2 linked regions of the Schizosaccharomyces pombe genome follow. The protein of the gene in region 1 interacts with the protein of each later gene in a pairwise test. Each region holds a gene or a part of one and is shown on either strand. Other genes may lie near its edges.

Region 1 (8,851 bases):
ATTCATTGAACAACGAAGGGGATCAAATGGAGACTAATTTTCAGTCTGAGAAATTAGATAATTCCAATTCAATTCCTTTCTTTAATTTTAATTCATTCAATAACAATGGGGCAAATTGGTCTTCAGACTTTAATTATCCTGTATCCGAAACTTCCGGTTTGCTTACAGATAATAATCGGAATCAACCGCCCTCATTTTAATTTTTTTCATATCTTTATATTTTATACTATTTGTTTCTTAATGAAATGCATCTTTTAGTTTTTTTAAACAAAAATCAACTAGCTTTGATTCGGTTTTTAATTAATTTAAGGATTGATCTGAAGTTTTGAATATTTTGATTTGGGGTTCAATTGTTGATAGGAAAACGATCCTCTTTTACCGAATATTTAATTACGCTAAGATATGCAATGCTGAGAGGTTCACAACACATTAGTTAAGAGGGTTGCTTCTGATATTTTATTATCAAAAAAGGTTCAGCGTGATATGGTTAACAATAGCAACGGAGGCTTTATATTTAAGATGAAAAAAATGGCATTCAAGCACATGTTCCCTTAATTCTCAAGAAAGAATCTACTCGTTCAAACTTTTCCTTAATAATGATAATGATAACATGACTACGTATGTTTAATAATAGAAGAGAATATTTTTTAATGAGATGAAGGAATAATATAGCAAAACTTCTGAAAATAAATTGATACAGCTAATTGAAGATATTGTTGTTTATTGTTTACTGCCCTGAATCTAAAAATTTTGAAAGTCTAATAGGTTATTTATTCAAATGTCAAATAAGGAGTTATTAGCGAAACAAAGTTTGTAACAAATGGTTATTAAGCATTCACTCTGCATGCACTATATTCACTTGATTTAAGTCGTCAAAACTAGCTTTGTGAACAAGGGGGACGGCCCTTAAAAGAACACAAAAATGATTTCGATAAGAAATGCGCTAGCAGAAAAATAATTACTAAAGTAGAAAGACAGTCAATGGTTAGAAACTGGAATGTACGAAAAAGTTAATTTCTGTATTCCCTATAAAGGGAAGGTTCGTTTAGCAAAAGAAGTTGAAGATCACAAAAACATTTTCAAAATCGTAAAAAAAAAGTTCGTAAATATCACGGTTATTAAATATAAATAAAAGAACTATATAGCCTAGTTCAAAGAGGACGTGAAATAAAAGAATTAAGTGAAAGTGTAACAGAGTTACAGCAAGTACAATTGCTAAGTGATATTTATTTGCACCCTAAATGGAAGCCACAAGTAATAACAACGCACAAAGGAGCAAAATAATAAAGCATCTGGGATACTGTTTAGCCTTTCGGCTGACCTTGTTTAATCGATTTTTTGCATGATCAAACCTCCTCTCAATTCGATCAGCATCATTATTCATATTATCTAGTAAAACATTTTGTTCGGACAATTCTGTATTCATTGCATATCCCATCCGCTTTTGCCTTTGGACACTTGCTTCGATCCCTCCTAAAGATTCTTCTTGTTCGTTGAGCATTTGCTGATGCATTTGAGCCAAAACGTTTACGTTTATGGGATCAGGGTCATTGCCATCAACCGGATACATGGCCTCCATCTCAATATCAGATCCCTCACTACTCGAAGTCGTTTTTTGTAAAGAAGGAAGGGGAGTTAACTTATTATTCGTACTTGCAACTTGCGGGTTTGCAGAAAAGGCACTTGTTCCGTCAGCAGGAATTGAGGATGCACGCCGCTGCTTCTCAAACTCTTCCTCAGCAGACTCTAACCTCCTTTGCATTCTAATAAGAAATGCTTCGGATTCTCGTACTCTGTACTCTGGGATTTGTGCATTTTTCTCTAATCGCGATTGCTCCTCATTAAGTTTTTGCAATTCTTGCCGAACATCTTTCAATGAAGACTCAATTTCTTCATCGGGATTCTGTCCAAACTCTTCCAACTTCCTCCTGTCTCTTATTTTTTGTGAAACCGAGTCAATGATCAGAAGCAAATTTGACATAGTCGCTGGTTACTTTCTTGAGTAATCATGTTCATCATGCGCCTAAAAACACAAACATTAGTGAAGTTTACAGTAATACGGTGTAATGCCTTTGCTACCAATTCTAGGTTCAATTACAGTAAATTTTGTTTGCAGCAAAAAAAGAGAATCTTTTCGTATGTTTTAAATAAAAAAAAAAGTAAAAATGATTTGCTCATTAGCTGCCAGATCCATTATAGGCATCCTGTGAAATTATCGTATTATTAGAAACCTACTCGTTATTTACACAATTTTTTGAATGCTTCTTTTCGACTCTTCTGATTGTTTTCGGTATTTATCACAAATTTAGTAGTTCTTATTTCACATCTATTAAAAGGTAATCAAGCAAGGTGTAAGGAAAACTTTTTAATTATTGAAAGTTGGTTTGCGTAGTTTCAAAATTAATCAGATAAATTTATACAGCAAGCCCAGTATAAAAAGGGGCCTAACCAGGATTCGAACCAGGGATCACCTCTAAACTCAGCATACAAGTGGGGATTACCCGAAAGAGGTATGTTAACCACTACACTATTAGGCCTAGGTTTCTCATTACAAAATATTAATATAATATATATATAAAATAATTGCGACATAATAAATGTTAAGTACCTCTTTGCTCTGAAAACTAAAATACCAATAATGACGCTTTTCTTTTCATTAGAAGAGAATGTTTATTAAAGAAATATCTTAAAGAAAAATACTACTTAAATATTTATTTAGGAGTTAGTACACTAATTCCAGAGTATTAAATCCAAGTGTAACAAGGTAGGAGTAACAAATAGTTGTTTAATTACAGACAATTAAGTACAGTAGAAAATTACTCAAATATATACAAGGCTTTGGGCCGTTTAAAACGAATCATGCTGATATCTATATTCGGCTAATCGACTTCTTGCTTTATTCTCAGTTTAAAATGGAGTTTTTTTTTATAGCGTTACGAATTAGAAATAGATGTAGCCGTCTATCAAAGTTGACATTGCACGTGAAATTATCATTATAAACATAATCAAATGAATGGCAAAGCGATCAAAATAAGAAGGAATTTTACTACGTTATAAAACATTCGGCTTTTTATTTTACTTTATTCTTTTTTATTCAGGTGCATCTGATAATAATCGCGTGAAACTTGAGTGCAAAAAATTTTACAGCCCTGTAGATCCCGAGTGAGAGTAGATCACATATAGCTAAAGGAGCTCGTATGAAACTAAGATACAAATACATTTGTTTACGAACGTTTGACAAATATATAAATTGACCCACAGACCTTAAAATTGTCAACAACAGTTGTCTCAAAAAAAAGCCGGGTCGAAAGTACATTATTTACTAAATGATAGTGTTTTTAACTTCAAAAACAGTACAAAGAATGCTATAGAAAACAAAATGCATTTTCGATGAATTGAATTATTCATTTTCTGTAAACAACAAAAAGTTGGTTGAGAATTATGGAATTCGTTATTTTTATTTACCGTATTTCAATAGTTCGTAAATATGCATGACCGCATCGGTAAGCATAGGCAGGCTTAGTAACTTGCATTTCTCTTTGTCTTTAAGCAAACATCGACTAAAATACATATTGCTTGAAAAATTTAATATTGGTTGCATACACTTAATTCACAATGGATAAAACAAAAATGTTTAGTGCCATTAATTTGGGCGTAGGTGGTATCTTCGTTTTAAGCGGATTTATCAAGTTATTTTCATTTAGCTTCGTAAACGCTTTACTTGCATTGTTCATCATCGTTTTCGGTTTGGGAACTATTGGTTTAGAAAAGGAAATTCCTCCTATTGCTATTAAATATGGATCGTTCATGTTCTCATTCTTAGGAAGGGGCTTCTTCTACGCTTTCATGGGTACTTTACTCTTTTCTTACTCCGGGTTTACTTCTTTCCTAGGCTTTTTAGTTCTTCTTGCAGGTATCGCCTACTGTGGTGCAAACTACGTAGCAGGATTGCAAGACTACGCTCCCAGAAGCATGCGTGATAATGATTGGGATGATAACGTTGATGAAGTGTAGACTTTTTTTTATTTCTAACTATATTATTTGATTCGGTTCTTGTTCCTACCCCCCTCTTTTCCCGATGTCCTCCTACATATGATTTATTCTGGATACATTCGTTTTCTTCAGGGTAGGTGTTCTAAAAGACAGTCACTTTAGCAGTCATCCTCAGAGTAGTTAATGAGTATAAATATGTATACGATCTCTTAACTATGTATAATTTTTGTATATCAACATTAGCGTAGTAGCTATGGTATTTGTGATGGGTTTTAGGGTTATACATTCAAATACCTTTAATTGTCCAGCTTGGATTCTGAACTGTCGGGTGTATCGAGGAGGATAAAAATGACATGTCAAGCTCAACAATATGAAAAATTATGATTTTTTTCTATTTCTTCACTTTCTGAGATGTATCTTGCAGTTCAAAATGTTAGTTGGCTTTACTAAAATTCTATTTTATTTCATTACTCTAATCAATTATCTTTTTGCTTTATGACCATTACCGCTTATACTCTATAGATGTTTTATATTTTTTATATCTAAATAAATATCTTAATTTTTTTGAGCTGTTGGGAATAATGAATATTCTTTCTGAGTTTCTTACTTACAGGTCTTATAGACGTGTTTCCATTGTCCATACTATAAAATTGTTGACCTCTATAGTCACCGTTGCTTTTGTCACTACATTGCAAGAGCTGACGAGTCCTCCAAATTGACAAATGCGATCCTCAATATTCCACTCAAGGCCGCTGGTTTTTTTAACATACACACTCTGTCCTACTGGCAGAAGACCGCAATGTAAACCAATGTTGTCGTGACAATCAACATGATTTATTCCGGGTTGAAGCAAAGTTGATACATTCAATTCAGTTAATAGAAATACTTCATTCTTTTCAGAAATCGAGGCGGCCCAGAATAGATGGTTTAAATTACCAATGGCATGATCAACTCTTCCACCCATGCCACATAATACAAAAATAGTATCAATCCCATGTTCTTTAATTATTTTATGGCATTTCATAAAGTCAGTGGTGTTTTGGCATGGGTCGAATACAATGTTGACTCCCATTTCTTTATAATAAGCTTTAGTTTCATCTGTTAACGAATCAAAGTCACCAACGACATAATCCGGTTTGAGCGAAGAATCGTAATTTCTCAATTGGTTAGCACCACCGTCTGCGCAGACTCGGATACTAGCTCTTTTCCATAAAGTACGAAATCTATCATCCGGTATATCTATGGGTTGATTTAATAGTAATACCGCAAACTTTTGATCAGTATCATAGTCACGTAACCAAGCCTTACATGGAGCTAGCTGATGAGTGGCTTTTTGGGGTTTTGCAGGAACACACGTTTCAGCTTTCTTTGAAGTATCTTCAAAAGAATCCCCTCTTTCATATTTTCCAACAGGAACAGGCAACGGTCTATGTATCCGTTCTAAAGTTTGGAGATACTGAGGATGCTGTGGAGTAATGATACCATGACGGATTAAAAAGTCTAAAAGAACCAGAGCACAATTTGGCTTAAAACTTTTTAATTCAAGTTCATGAAGTACTTGATTCAATGGTAATAAACTGAAACCAGCGACTTCTCCATCATTAATTCTTGGGATAACAAGATCATCAACAGGTAAATCGAATACATATTGTAACTCGGGCTGAATCCAATGCCTTTTCTCCATTTTGATGTAGGAGACAGTGCCACAAGGAATAAGATTCATAGAAGAAACGTCCAAATTAGCTTCTTCAGAAAATTCCTTTATCATAGTGCCTATGACTGAATCACCATGAGCAATTCCGCCGGCAACGCTATTATCTAAATAATTGGGCCACGTTTGTTTAGTCGGTGATCTTCGTGGTACCCAAATACGAAGAGGATGTTCTTTAGTTGCTGGAATATACATGGTACAATGCACACCAGTGCTCAAAAAACCGAATAACCAAAATCCGCCCCGTTCAACGGCCAATACAGGCTTTTTAGATTTTCCATAAACAGTATATAATTCATTCCTCCATTGATCAGCAATTCCAAATGTATTGTTATGGCGCCAATGCTCCAGTACCTTAGCTAAGATGTCAGTTCTTTTTTCAAAAGTAGATGCGTTTATTTCAATATACTCTCCTGGAACATAAACCCAATTGAATTTGAAATTATCCGCCTTTATGAGGATTTCTAGTACCAAAGGGGTAACATATCCAATGGCAGCGCCATTTGCACGGAAGGGAATTGTTCCAGGAACAAATTCCCCATTAAAAGAATCGCATTCATCTAAAAGCTCTTCGGCATTTAATTGTTTAGCAGAGGTGATAGACGACATTGCCATTACCTTGCCCAAATTTTCCTCTCAAATGGATAGTGTTCTAAAATAAAACAGGAATAAAAAAGGCTAGTGTATTTATGCGAAGGAGACACTTATGGTTCAATTCAACATAAATAGAATAATATATAAAACACCCTATACTAGCAAATGGTAAAAGCTCAAGGAAACTGGTTCCTGGTAGTAGAAATCGGGTAGTTGACTAAAACCTTATCGTATAACGAAATGCTAATCTATTAAACCCCTTTCAAAATGATCTTTAAAAACAAAAAAGAAGTTGATATTAAACAAACAGTACCTTAATCAAGGTAATCTAGTAATTGTCTTTCAAGAGTGTGGTCTACGAGGAAAATTACAATGGGAGCAGAACTCCGTGCCAGGAATGTCTTGGTATTAAAAATAATAGCACACAGATTGGCTTACTAATTTTCACTTTAACACCAACCGCCGTTTTTGTAATTAATTAGGGTTTGGTATAGTTAAGCGTATCTTTCACATGATTTTTATTTTCAGTGGACTTCCTTCGTAAGTTTTTTAATAATAATTCCTGAAGTGATTGATAATTTTTCCGCTAAACGTATCAAATCTGGTTGTATAATAGTTATCGACTACAGCTATAACTTGCTGCTCAAACAATTTCATGTAAAGAACATCTGCCTACAGAAAAGCTAGCATAGAAAGTTCCTTCTTTTTTACGTCTCATAAGACGTCAATGCTTGGGATTACTCCAACATATTTACATGTATAAAAGCATGGATAATGACACTAAAAAAAAAATCGAAGGGAATAGAAAGAAAAAAAAAATCTTATACTTTTCTCACGCTTTTCTGCATCTCCGTTATATTTAAAATAATCCAAGTCACCGAAATGTTAACATAGTAGTACATCTGGTTATATTGTTGAGATAGCAATATGCTATGTTCCCTTTGCCAATTTCAACTCTAGAACAGTACATTAACAAAACAACGAATCTGAACTTTTTTTATAAAAACAAATTGTCCTTGGTTTAGCTACTGGCAGATAATTAAATTCTATTGCGTTGTTTTAAAATGAGTGTTAACAATGAAGTATCCGCTGATCAACATAACCCTGAACTAGAGGATGATACATTTGAGCATGGACCTCCGGTTTCTCTGGGAGAAAAGAAATCACTTAATGAATATATGAAGATGGATGCCGAAGATGAATCATTGCAGAAATGGAAAGCATCTCTGGGTATCACGGGAACAGGTTATTCACCCTCGAATGATCGTAGAACAGTTGTTATTTTAAAGCTGAGTTTACTTGTTGACGGCCGTGACCCAGTTGATGTTAACATGGAAGATGCAGCAAGTGTCGAACAAATCCGCAAGAAAGGGTTCACTATTAAGGAAGGAAGCGAGTTTAAGATTGGTGTTAAATTTCGTGTACAACACGAAGTAATTTCAGGCTTAAGATATGTCCAAACTGTTCGCAGACGTGGCTTTGTTGTTGACAAAACATCTACCATGATTGGCTCCTATGGACCTTCTGAAACACCTTATGATTTTACCTCTGAACCAGATGAGGCACCTACAGGTATGCTGGCTCGCGGACATTATGAAGCCAATGGAAAGTTTGTTGATGATGATAAAGTGGTCCATCATGAATTTGTTTGGGCTTTTGACGTTGCAAAAAGCTGGAAGTAGTCATTATTTATGCCAGCCTTATTTTTTAAAATCGTAAATTTCAAATCTACTTGGTTATTCAAAATTCTCGGTATTCAGTACTATAAAGAAATTTATAGTGATGTTTTGTTACAAAGCAAACATTTTCCTTTTTCTTACCAATTTCTTTCACATATCGGTGTCTGGACTACAATTGAATATGGTAATGACGATTTCTTACCACCTTCTTCAGTGAAACTTTACTTCACCCAAATATCTCGGATTGTTTGGAGATTGCCTTTTGTTGTGCAAATTACTTTTATAGCTTACATATGATCTTCACATATTCCCCTTTAGCAATCTACGTTGTTTCTTTTAAATCTCGTTCCAAAGCTTACAAATGCGATATTTTGGAAGGATATATACATCCGACTATATTCTTTTCACTGAAATTATGAGTTTTGAGATTTTGATTAAATTTTTCCAAGTATCTTATACTTTTCCACTTTTCCTTGTTGTCACCAAAGAAGTACATAGAAAACAATACAAATAGCTATTAACTAGCCTGATTAGTCCCTTTGATGGGAATTACTAGAATACTATTGTAACGGTAATAACTCATTCTTAAACTCATTTCAACGTATCTCGCTCGACTTTGAGAAAATCCTACATAGTGCTTGAAACTTAACTTTTTATTTTAATACTTCACACTGATTAAAAGATTGATTAATGAATCCTAAACCCATAAAAAGTTATTGAGCGCAAAGCTACTGTCTTAATATAGTTTTACTGCAGTAGAATAGAGACATCGTTAACTTGGTTTCTTGGTATCACACTTTTTCTTTCACTAATTCTTTGCACATCATTTGCTAGACTCTCATCTTTCACCTACTTGGTTTGGTGTAATCCGTTC
Region 2 (7,842 bases), on another chromosome or scaffold:
TCCAATTGATTTCTAAAACCTTCAAATGTTTTAGTTAAACGATCACCTTTGTTGGATCCTTGTACTTTCCCTGTTTGTCTGAGTAATTCTTGCCATGTAAGACTTCCATTCTCAGAAAACATGCGTTCAGCGAATTGTTGCTCTAATTCTTCTAGGTGATTCAATGTATACTGTCTTTTAGTATGCTCATTTGGGAATAATGAAGGGTATTCAGTAAAGTGTTGATCAAGTTTTGAAATGTAACTTTCAACATCCTTATTTGGATCGAATTTCCCTATCTCTGGTACATGCTTCGATAATATTTTTGCAAAAAGGTTTATTAAATGTTCGTCTGATGTTTGAATTCCATCCAAATTCTCTGGTCTCCATCGTTTTGCTCTTGCTTTCATATAACGATAATTTGCGTAGGACATTGTATATGTTTCCCTTTGGGAGATTTCAAAAGGGATAACAGTCCTTCCAAAGTTCCTTCTCCTTTGAACCCAGAAGGAGAGAAATATATATATTTATGATATATATTTATTCAATAATTCCTTTTTCCTAAAAGGAGTTAATTGTAGATCACAAGAGTTCAGTTATTGTAAGCTACGCAGTTTGGTATCTGATTTAAGGATACGTAGAACTGCGGTGAGTTTTCCTTGTGATCTATTATATTACGATACACAGGTTGTATAAGTAGCAACTGAGTATAGGTATTGTATTAACTGGGTTATAATGTTACCTATCACTAATATAGCTCATAACTGAACTGAGGAACGAGGTTCAGCAGTAGCTCTATTTATAGTATTCAGATAATATTGATCTTAATAGATTATCATTAAGATCAATCTCCATATCGTATCATACATGGTACGATATATAATTAGAACATGTGACATATAGTGATACTCAACGTAGTGTATTATAGCGTAGTGTAGTATTGCTGACATTAAGTTCCTTTTAAGAGGGTTTACACGTTTGATGAACTCATTAACGATGCGTTGGGATGCGACAAGTTTAACCTGAGACGTGGTACAATAGCTAGTAGTTAATTTCTACAAAGTAGCAAAGGTAACAGACATGCTTATAGAGAGATGATAAAGTAATAGTAACAAATAGACTCTCAATCAGTCAATTTTATCAAATTAAATTATTGATTTAAAAAATAATTTGAATAATAAAAGAAAAAGTCTCTGAAATGTTTCAGTGGAGCGTGCGTTCGATCTTTCTATGAATTAAACATATAAGATGTAAATAGTGCATTGTAGTGTAAAGTAATGAGATTTAACACGGATTCACAATTCGAACGCTGACTAGGTGTATGAGAATTTCCTCTGTCAACTTCCAATTTTTTAGATTCGCCCTTGTCCCCCTTTTCTCCTTTGGCAATTGCATACAAAATGTCTGACTATGAAGAGGATGAGGCCTTTGGAATGGACGGTGCTGTTATGGAGGAGGAAGTCGATGAACTGGAGATGATCGATGAAAATGGGCAATCACAGCAAGGCGTCTCTCATCCTGGTGAACCTTCGACTACCGTTATTACTGAAGATGTTGCTAGCTCAAAAACAGCTCAATCTGGTAAAGCGGTAGCAAAGGAAGACCGAACCACTACTCCTTATATGACAAAGTATGAACGCGCTCGTATTTTGGGAACTCGAGCACTTCAAATTAGGTGAGTAGATGCGTGGATTTACAATAAAGCGTCGTACAAAGGCACTAGCGTAATTGCTTAAGTCCTGAATCGTTATGCTGTTTTGCAGTCATGGAGTTTAAAAAAAAACGATATAGTTAAAAATTTTTTTTTTATTTTCTAGTTAGGATTGTCTGATTATGATGAATTTTGTTTCTTTTCAATTGAGCTTTCTTTTAATTTCTAACTCTTTATTTTAGTATGAACGCACCTGTTTTAGTTGATTTGGAAGGTGAAACTGATCCTTTGCAAATTGCCATGAAGGAGCTTGCACAAAAAAAGATTCCTCTACTAGTCCGGCGATATTTACCCGATGGCAGTTATGAAGACTGGAGTGTAGCGGAGCTCATTTAATTTAAGAAGTGTTCCAATTTCAAATACGTTCTATCGCTCGTTCGATTCACCTCGTTCTTTTCCTAATTCTTTTGTTTTACGTGAGCGAAGCCGTTTGGCTATGGTAAAGAAAAGAAAATAAAAGCAAAAGGACTAAATTTTTAGCTCTATACCATTAATTTACGATTTAGAAATAGGGACGTATTTATCCTCGGGAGAAAAAAAAGGCTTGTGCTACTATTCTAGAAATCTTCTTTTCTTGTGTCAAAAAATTTTTTGGGGCATTTTAGCTCTCGTTCTTCAATGAATGCATTTAATAATAACTTTTTCCGATAGTTTTAGTAGCTGTGTAAATGTAAACTCATTGATCACGGAGTTTTTTGTACAACTGTTAATCTGAAAAAAATTCTAGAGCACAGAAAACTCAAAATTGCTTACTACACACCTATCATTCAGATATGTTCAAATGTTCTATTACTATCAGTTTCAAAGCATGGATTGCGAAATTTACAAGGTATAATATCTAATGAGTGTGCTCATGAGATGGATGCGAATGTTCACCAGAAGACCCATTTAAGTGTTGCCATCTATGAACCTGATTAGAGTCAGAGGAAAGTGGTGTCACGATACAACTGGAAAGGGCAGGGATAGCATCCAAAACAGTCTTTTCTACCTTTTGTGCCAATTCGGACGACTGTTGAGATGTGAAGGATGGAGGAACAGATATTATCACATGCATGGCATGTGCATTTCCTAATATAGTAACGATTTTATATGGAAGCTTTTCTCCCTTCAATAAAGCATCAGTTACTGCGATACGTAACTCTTCGGAAGGTGCTCGGTCCAAAAGCTGCAAGAAGGCCTTTTTAGAAGAGTTGAAGCCGGCACTAAAAACGACAATACTTACTAAACAACCAAAAAACGGATCTAGCCATGGAGCATTAAGAAAGTAAGTGCCGGATAAAGCAAGCAGTGAAACCATTCCCGTCAATGCATCTGCTCTATGATGCCAGGCATTGGCTAGTAAGATATTTGAATCTGTTTTTTGAGCCACCGTTCTCGCTAAATATACTATTAGAATCCAATAATAGGTGAAATTACTTACTTTTTCGGAAGAGCCATTCTTTAAGAACAACACTACCAAATATAAGGCCAAGTGCCATAAAGGGGTGTTCAAACAATAGTTGAGAAGGATTATGAGAATGACCAATGTGCGTGTGTTCTGAACCAGCGTATGGGAATAGTATAGTATACAATCTCGATAACGATGAATGAGCAATGCCTACAGATACAGCCACCAATAAACCAGATACGGTGAATGTACCTATGGTTTCCCATTTGCCAAAACCGGCAGGGTACTTTTGTGTGGGCTTCTTGCTACATATTTTCAAGGTAGCCAATGTTACCAAGTCCGAAAGTGTATCTCCTAATTGATGAGCAGCATCGGCGACAAGAATGCTAGATTGTAGAGCAACTCCGCCGATACCTTTGGCGGCTGCTAAGCCTATATTGCTGTATCTATAAAAAGTGTTAATAGTCAAGAATATCTATAATAAAGGGAAGAAATTGTCAAAAGATCTGTCGTAGAACGAAAGCATAAGAGAGTACCAGTTTAAAAATGGTCTCATTAAATATCATGAGTTATTTAGCTAACTTTAGGGCTACAGTTCCTTTGTTGCCGCTATGCTCCGAATTGATAAGAAAAGATGACTTTCTTTTTTTCTTTTCCATACTTACAATCCTAACCACGCAAGTTTCAGCTCTGGAGATTTCCCTTCTTTTTTCAAAGCTTTAACAAGCTCTAACATTTCTTTGTCCGATCCATGGTCATGGGTATGAGTGTGAGAGCCAACACTATGCATTCTTACAGCATTCCGAATTTCAAAGCCAGATTTCTCGTGCAATCTGCTGCACAATGTCGGTAGAAAACGCGGCATCGCTCGACATGAGCGCGCTGACGAATTGAACGTTTTCAGCATAGTGAGTTTTGTACTGTTAATTCAAGAAAAGGGATATCTATATATAAAACAAAACTTCTAAAGAAGTAAATATGTAGAAAACCTGGAAATTAGGGCTCAACCGGCTGTCTGTGAACTTTCGATTGCGGATGCAATCTATTTTTAAGTGTATTAATATTTTTATCAGAAATTGCAGACGAGGTTCAGGAACTTTGACTTACTTAATTAAACTGTGTTCAAAAATAAAAAATGGATAACTTAATAATCCGAGCGAAGCCTAAAAATCTAAAAAACCTCCTATTTCAATTCTGCAAAATTTGAGCTTGCAAACTCATAATTTTGTAAGCAGCGTCTGACTTTCAATTATAAAAATCTAAATATCCGTCCAATTCTCTTAAATTAGTTAAGATCTTTGTTTTGTTTAGGATCGGTCTCTTCTATCGATTGTGTATATATGTATCTAGGAGAACGTAAGATGTCGATCCCGTACTTATCAGATCAATGTGAAACTTTACTACACCAGATTTGCACATCCGAGAATCTTTTAATTATGGATAGTTTATTTATATATTAACTAAACACTTTATTTTGTAGCGCATTACGGGTTTAACAAAAAGATTTATAATTTCATTATCAGTCAAGATCTACCATTATTATTTCACCAATATTAAATAGCATAAAATATATACATTTTCTTTAGTAACATGTGAATTAACGAAAACGAATGAACTAGTATACAACAAGGATAAATGATATTTCCAAGCGTTAAGCACAAAATGAATATTGGGAAAGGAAGTCGCTTCGGCGCAGCATAGCTAATCATTCCCATTAATATCTAGCTGTATTTGTTCCAAACAGTAAGACAAGCAGACGAAAGGGCATAAGTTGATGTACAATGCACCACTTCCGAAAGAGTATTCAAAACCTCACTAACATAAGAGTCTCCTTCACTTTCCGCATACATCTGTTTCACAGCGACTGATGTAGAAGCATAAAACTTTCCTACTTCAGTAGTTTGGTAGATAGTATCAATTGGGAGACCGAAAACAACCTTTACCTTAGATGATACCGAACGCAGGTATAGCTCAACATTTATGATAATAGACTTATCATCATTTTCAACTGACAAAAAGGGCCAATGGTACCATAATCGCTGGAAATCTTGGACAAGATAAACAATTTGTTCCCAACAAATTGAAACATCGTTAAGATACTTCTTCAGAAGACGTAAGTTCCTAGAAAATACCTTGGAATGCCATTTAGAAAACGACGATGCAACATGCTCGAGCACATTTGAGCTGCAAGCATTACTTTCGTTAGGGAACTTACAGGCAATATCAACGTTAACTTGGAAATTTTGCCTCAAAATCTCAACCGTAACCTCGGCTGAATAAGGAGAAAGAGCAGTGTTATTTGTAGCTAATTTAATTCCGCCCGCGGTCAAAGAAACTATGGTCCAGCCAAGTTCATTTTTAAGATTTAACAACTGCTCCTCGTATCGCTTAATTTCGTCAAATTCAAAATCTTGGTTTTTCGCATAAAAATCTTGTTCAGCGTTGGTACGTAATTCCAAATCAGAGCAAGAGTTTGTCACTTGTTCTATCTTTATTGCCAACTCCTTTCTTCTTTCTTCTTTTTCACTCAGAAGCCGACGTCTCCTCTCAACCTCAACCTTGAGTTTCTCTAACTTTTCTTGCGCCTGCGCTAGAAGAGTTGAGTCATACTGATTTGCAAATTCCTTCTGCTTCTTTAATGTCTGTACTGTAGTAATACTACCATTGTATCTCTCTTGAATTTCCTGCGCATACGGATGAATAACATTCGCGACATCCATTAAATGGGTCAAGCTTCTTTGCATCCCAGTTAAATTTAAATTTAATTCATGTTTGATTCCTTGCATCAAACCCTCACGCCATTCGTACCAATCACCTTTTGCTTGAAGTCTAGCAAAAGTTTTCATCATTAAAAATTGTGAATCCATTAAAACCCTCATATCACTGGATGCTTTCCTATACTCATAGAATAGTAACGGGTTCTCTTTCAAAGTTTCCTCTTCAATTTTAGTAACAAAATCCTTCCCTTCGGCAATATAATCCTGTAATTGCTGACAACTAAATTTGTATAACTCTAACAAAGGGAATTGTATGTAAAAAGATTCCAAAAGTTCTTGGATACTGCATTTCTTATTTTCTTCAGCATTTGGCAATAGGGTTTCTCGTCTTTTAGCAATAGTAAGATTATCCAAAAATTCAATTCCGGTCATTTTAAGAAAATCTGATAGGCTTATCGGCTCGACGTTTGGTAGAGTTGGCATCGTATCAAATTCTGGCTCATTACCAACAGGTATTTCTTCATTTGGACCAGAGTCTTGATTCAAAATGTTCGTGTTAATAGTCGAAGCGCCCAACGATGTATCAACATTGCTCACACCTTTTGATAATTTGACGGGTGACTTCTCATGTTCATTCATGCCCACGGAAGTTGTATTACCTGCATTTGACGAACCAACTTGAACAAGTTCATTCCGGTTGGGTTCCTGAGATTCCAATCGCTCCAAACTAGTTGAATCGGCGTAATCTGCAGTTGTTATACGCTCTTTTTCATCCTCATTCGAAGGTTGTTGAGGAAGCTTAACAGAAGAAGTCGTATTAGTTGGAACGTGCTTAATTTCGTTAGTCTGTTGAATTGTTAGTCGCTCTGTTTTACTCAATCCAGAATCAACATCTGCATTAGACACTTGTTCGCCTTTGTCATCAGTGGGTTGCCTTGAAACTTCTTCAGGAAGACTTGAAAGCGGCTTTTCTGTGGTGAATGGCTTCTCTGCGGTAAGTGGAGTAGCTCCTAGACGATAATTTTCGGATCGCTCAACCGATTTATAGAGACCAGAATTTACTTTTTTTTCGAAAAAGTTAACCGGTAGAAGTTCTCTGTCATTCAAAGTTGAAATTGATTTTCGAGCATTACGGATTGTTGCAAGACGATTGCGACGCAAGGTACTTTGATCAAAACTTGAAGTGCTATATCTTAAGCGTCTTTTCCGAGTACCAAGCTTATCAGTAGGAGTCGCTACCACATGTCTACTTGGAGAAGAAGAGTTAGGATCTTTCGAAAATTTTAGATTATTGTTCCCATTTGGTGACCGTTCATGGTTGGTAAAGGAGGTAGTATTGAAATTTTCTGACTTATCACTATATGAGGGTATTTCTTCTCTCTCGGCATTTTCCTTGTCTGCTGAAGGTAACTCAACATTGTTTCCACGGATTTGAAAAGCCACTGTTTCGTCCATAGCAGCTTCTTCCACCTCAAGATGAGATGTAGAATTCTCACAAGGAAAAACTGTTGAGGTTAATTCCATTGGTTGCTCTTCGGAAAGTGCTTCTTTAGAAGGGGATAATATATTGAAAGGTCTAGTAATGTCCATAAAGTCCTCACTGTCGGGAATGGGCTTTGAAGAATTGGCAGTCTTGTTATTATCCTTTCTCGGTTTTGAAGAAGAGGATATATTTGAGGTAAATTGATTTAAATCATCTTCATTCAAATGGGTGGGTGCATTTGTAGAGCTAATGGGTTGTGTCAAGTCCATTATTTGCTCTTCCATGGATCGTGACGATGGACGAATGGGGGAAAGGAGAGTTAAATGTGAGTTTTCGATATTAAAGGCGGAGGTGGTATCCATTTCTTCTTCTCCATTAGTTAAATCGTTCGGAGAATGATTAGTTAAGTGAGGATTAGCATTAATTGGTCGGGTAAGGTTCATAGGCGCTTCTTCTAAGTTTTGTAAATCTAAGCCATTGGAAAAATGAGACACTGGAGATAAATTAATGTTATTAGAGGTAATATCCATGTCAACAATAGCTTCTTGGGAAGTTAAAGGGCGAG

What was found.
Region 2: the proteins of tnr3 (region 1) and mmt1 interact in a two-hybrid assay, tested with the Schizosaccharomyces pombe proteins (one large-scale study listed by BioGRID).

Annotation. Positions count from the first base shown.
Region 1 is NC_003424.3:1,312,484-1,321,334, forward strand, and holds tnr3 (thiamine diphosphokinase Tnr3/ Nudix hydrolase fusion protein), read right to left. Parts: upstream 6,496-8,851; 5' UTR 6,320-6,495; coding exon 4,610-6,319; 3' UTR 4,498-4,609; downstream 1-4,497. Other genes in the region: DNA-binding transcription factor, glucose starvation sensing, Rst2, read left to right, coding at 1-200; fsv1 (SNARE Stx8), read right to left, coding at 1,238-1,981; tvp15 (COPI-coated vesicle-associated protein), read left to right, coding at 3,616-4,014; Rho GDP dissociation inhibitor Rdi1, read left to right, coding at 7,363-7,980.
Region 2 is NC_003421.2:781,722-789,563, forward strand, and holds mmt1 (mitochondrial iron ion transporter), read right to left. Parts: upstream 4,426-7,842; 5' UTR 4,185-4,425; intron 4,120-4,184; 5' UTR 3,985-4,119; coding exon 3,743-3,984; intron 3,524-3,742; coding exon 3,111-3,523; intron 3,068-3,110; coding exon 2,529-3,067; 3' UTR 2,497-2,528; downstream 1-2,496. Other genes in the region: Tf2-12 (retrotransposable element/transposon Tf2-type), read right to left, coding at 1-413; DNA-directed RNA polymerase subunit Rpb6, read left to right, coding at 1,380-1,654, 1,873-2,026; outer kinetochore KNL network protein, KNL-1 family member, blinkin, Spc7, read right to left, coding at 4,799-7,842.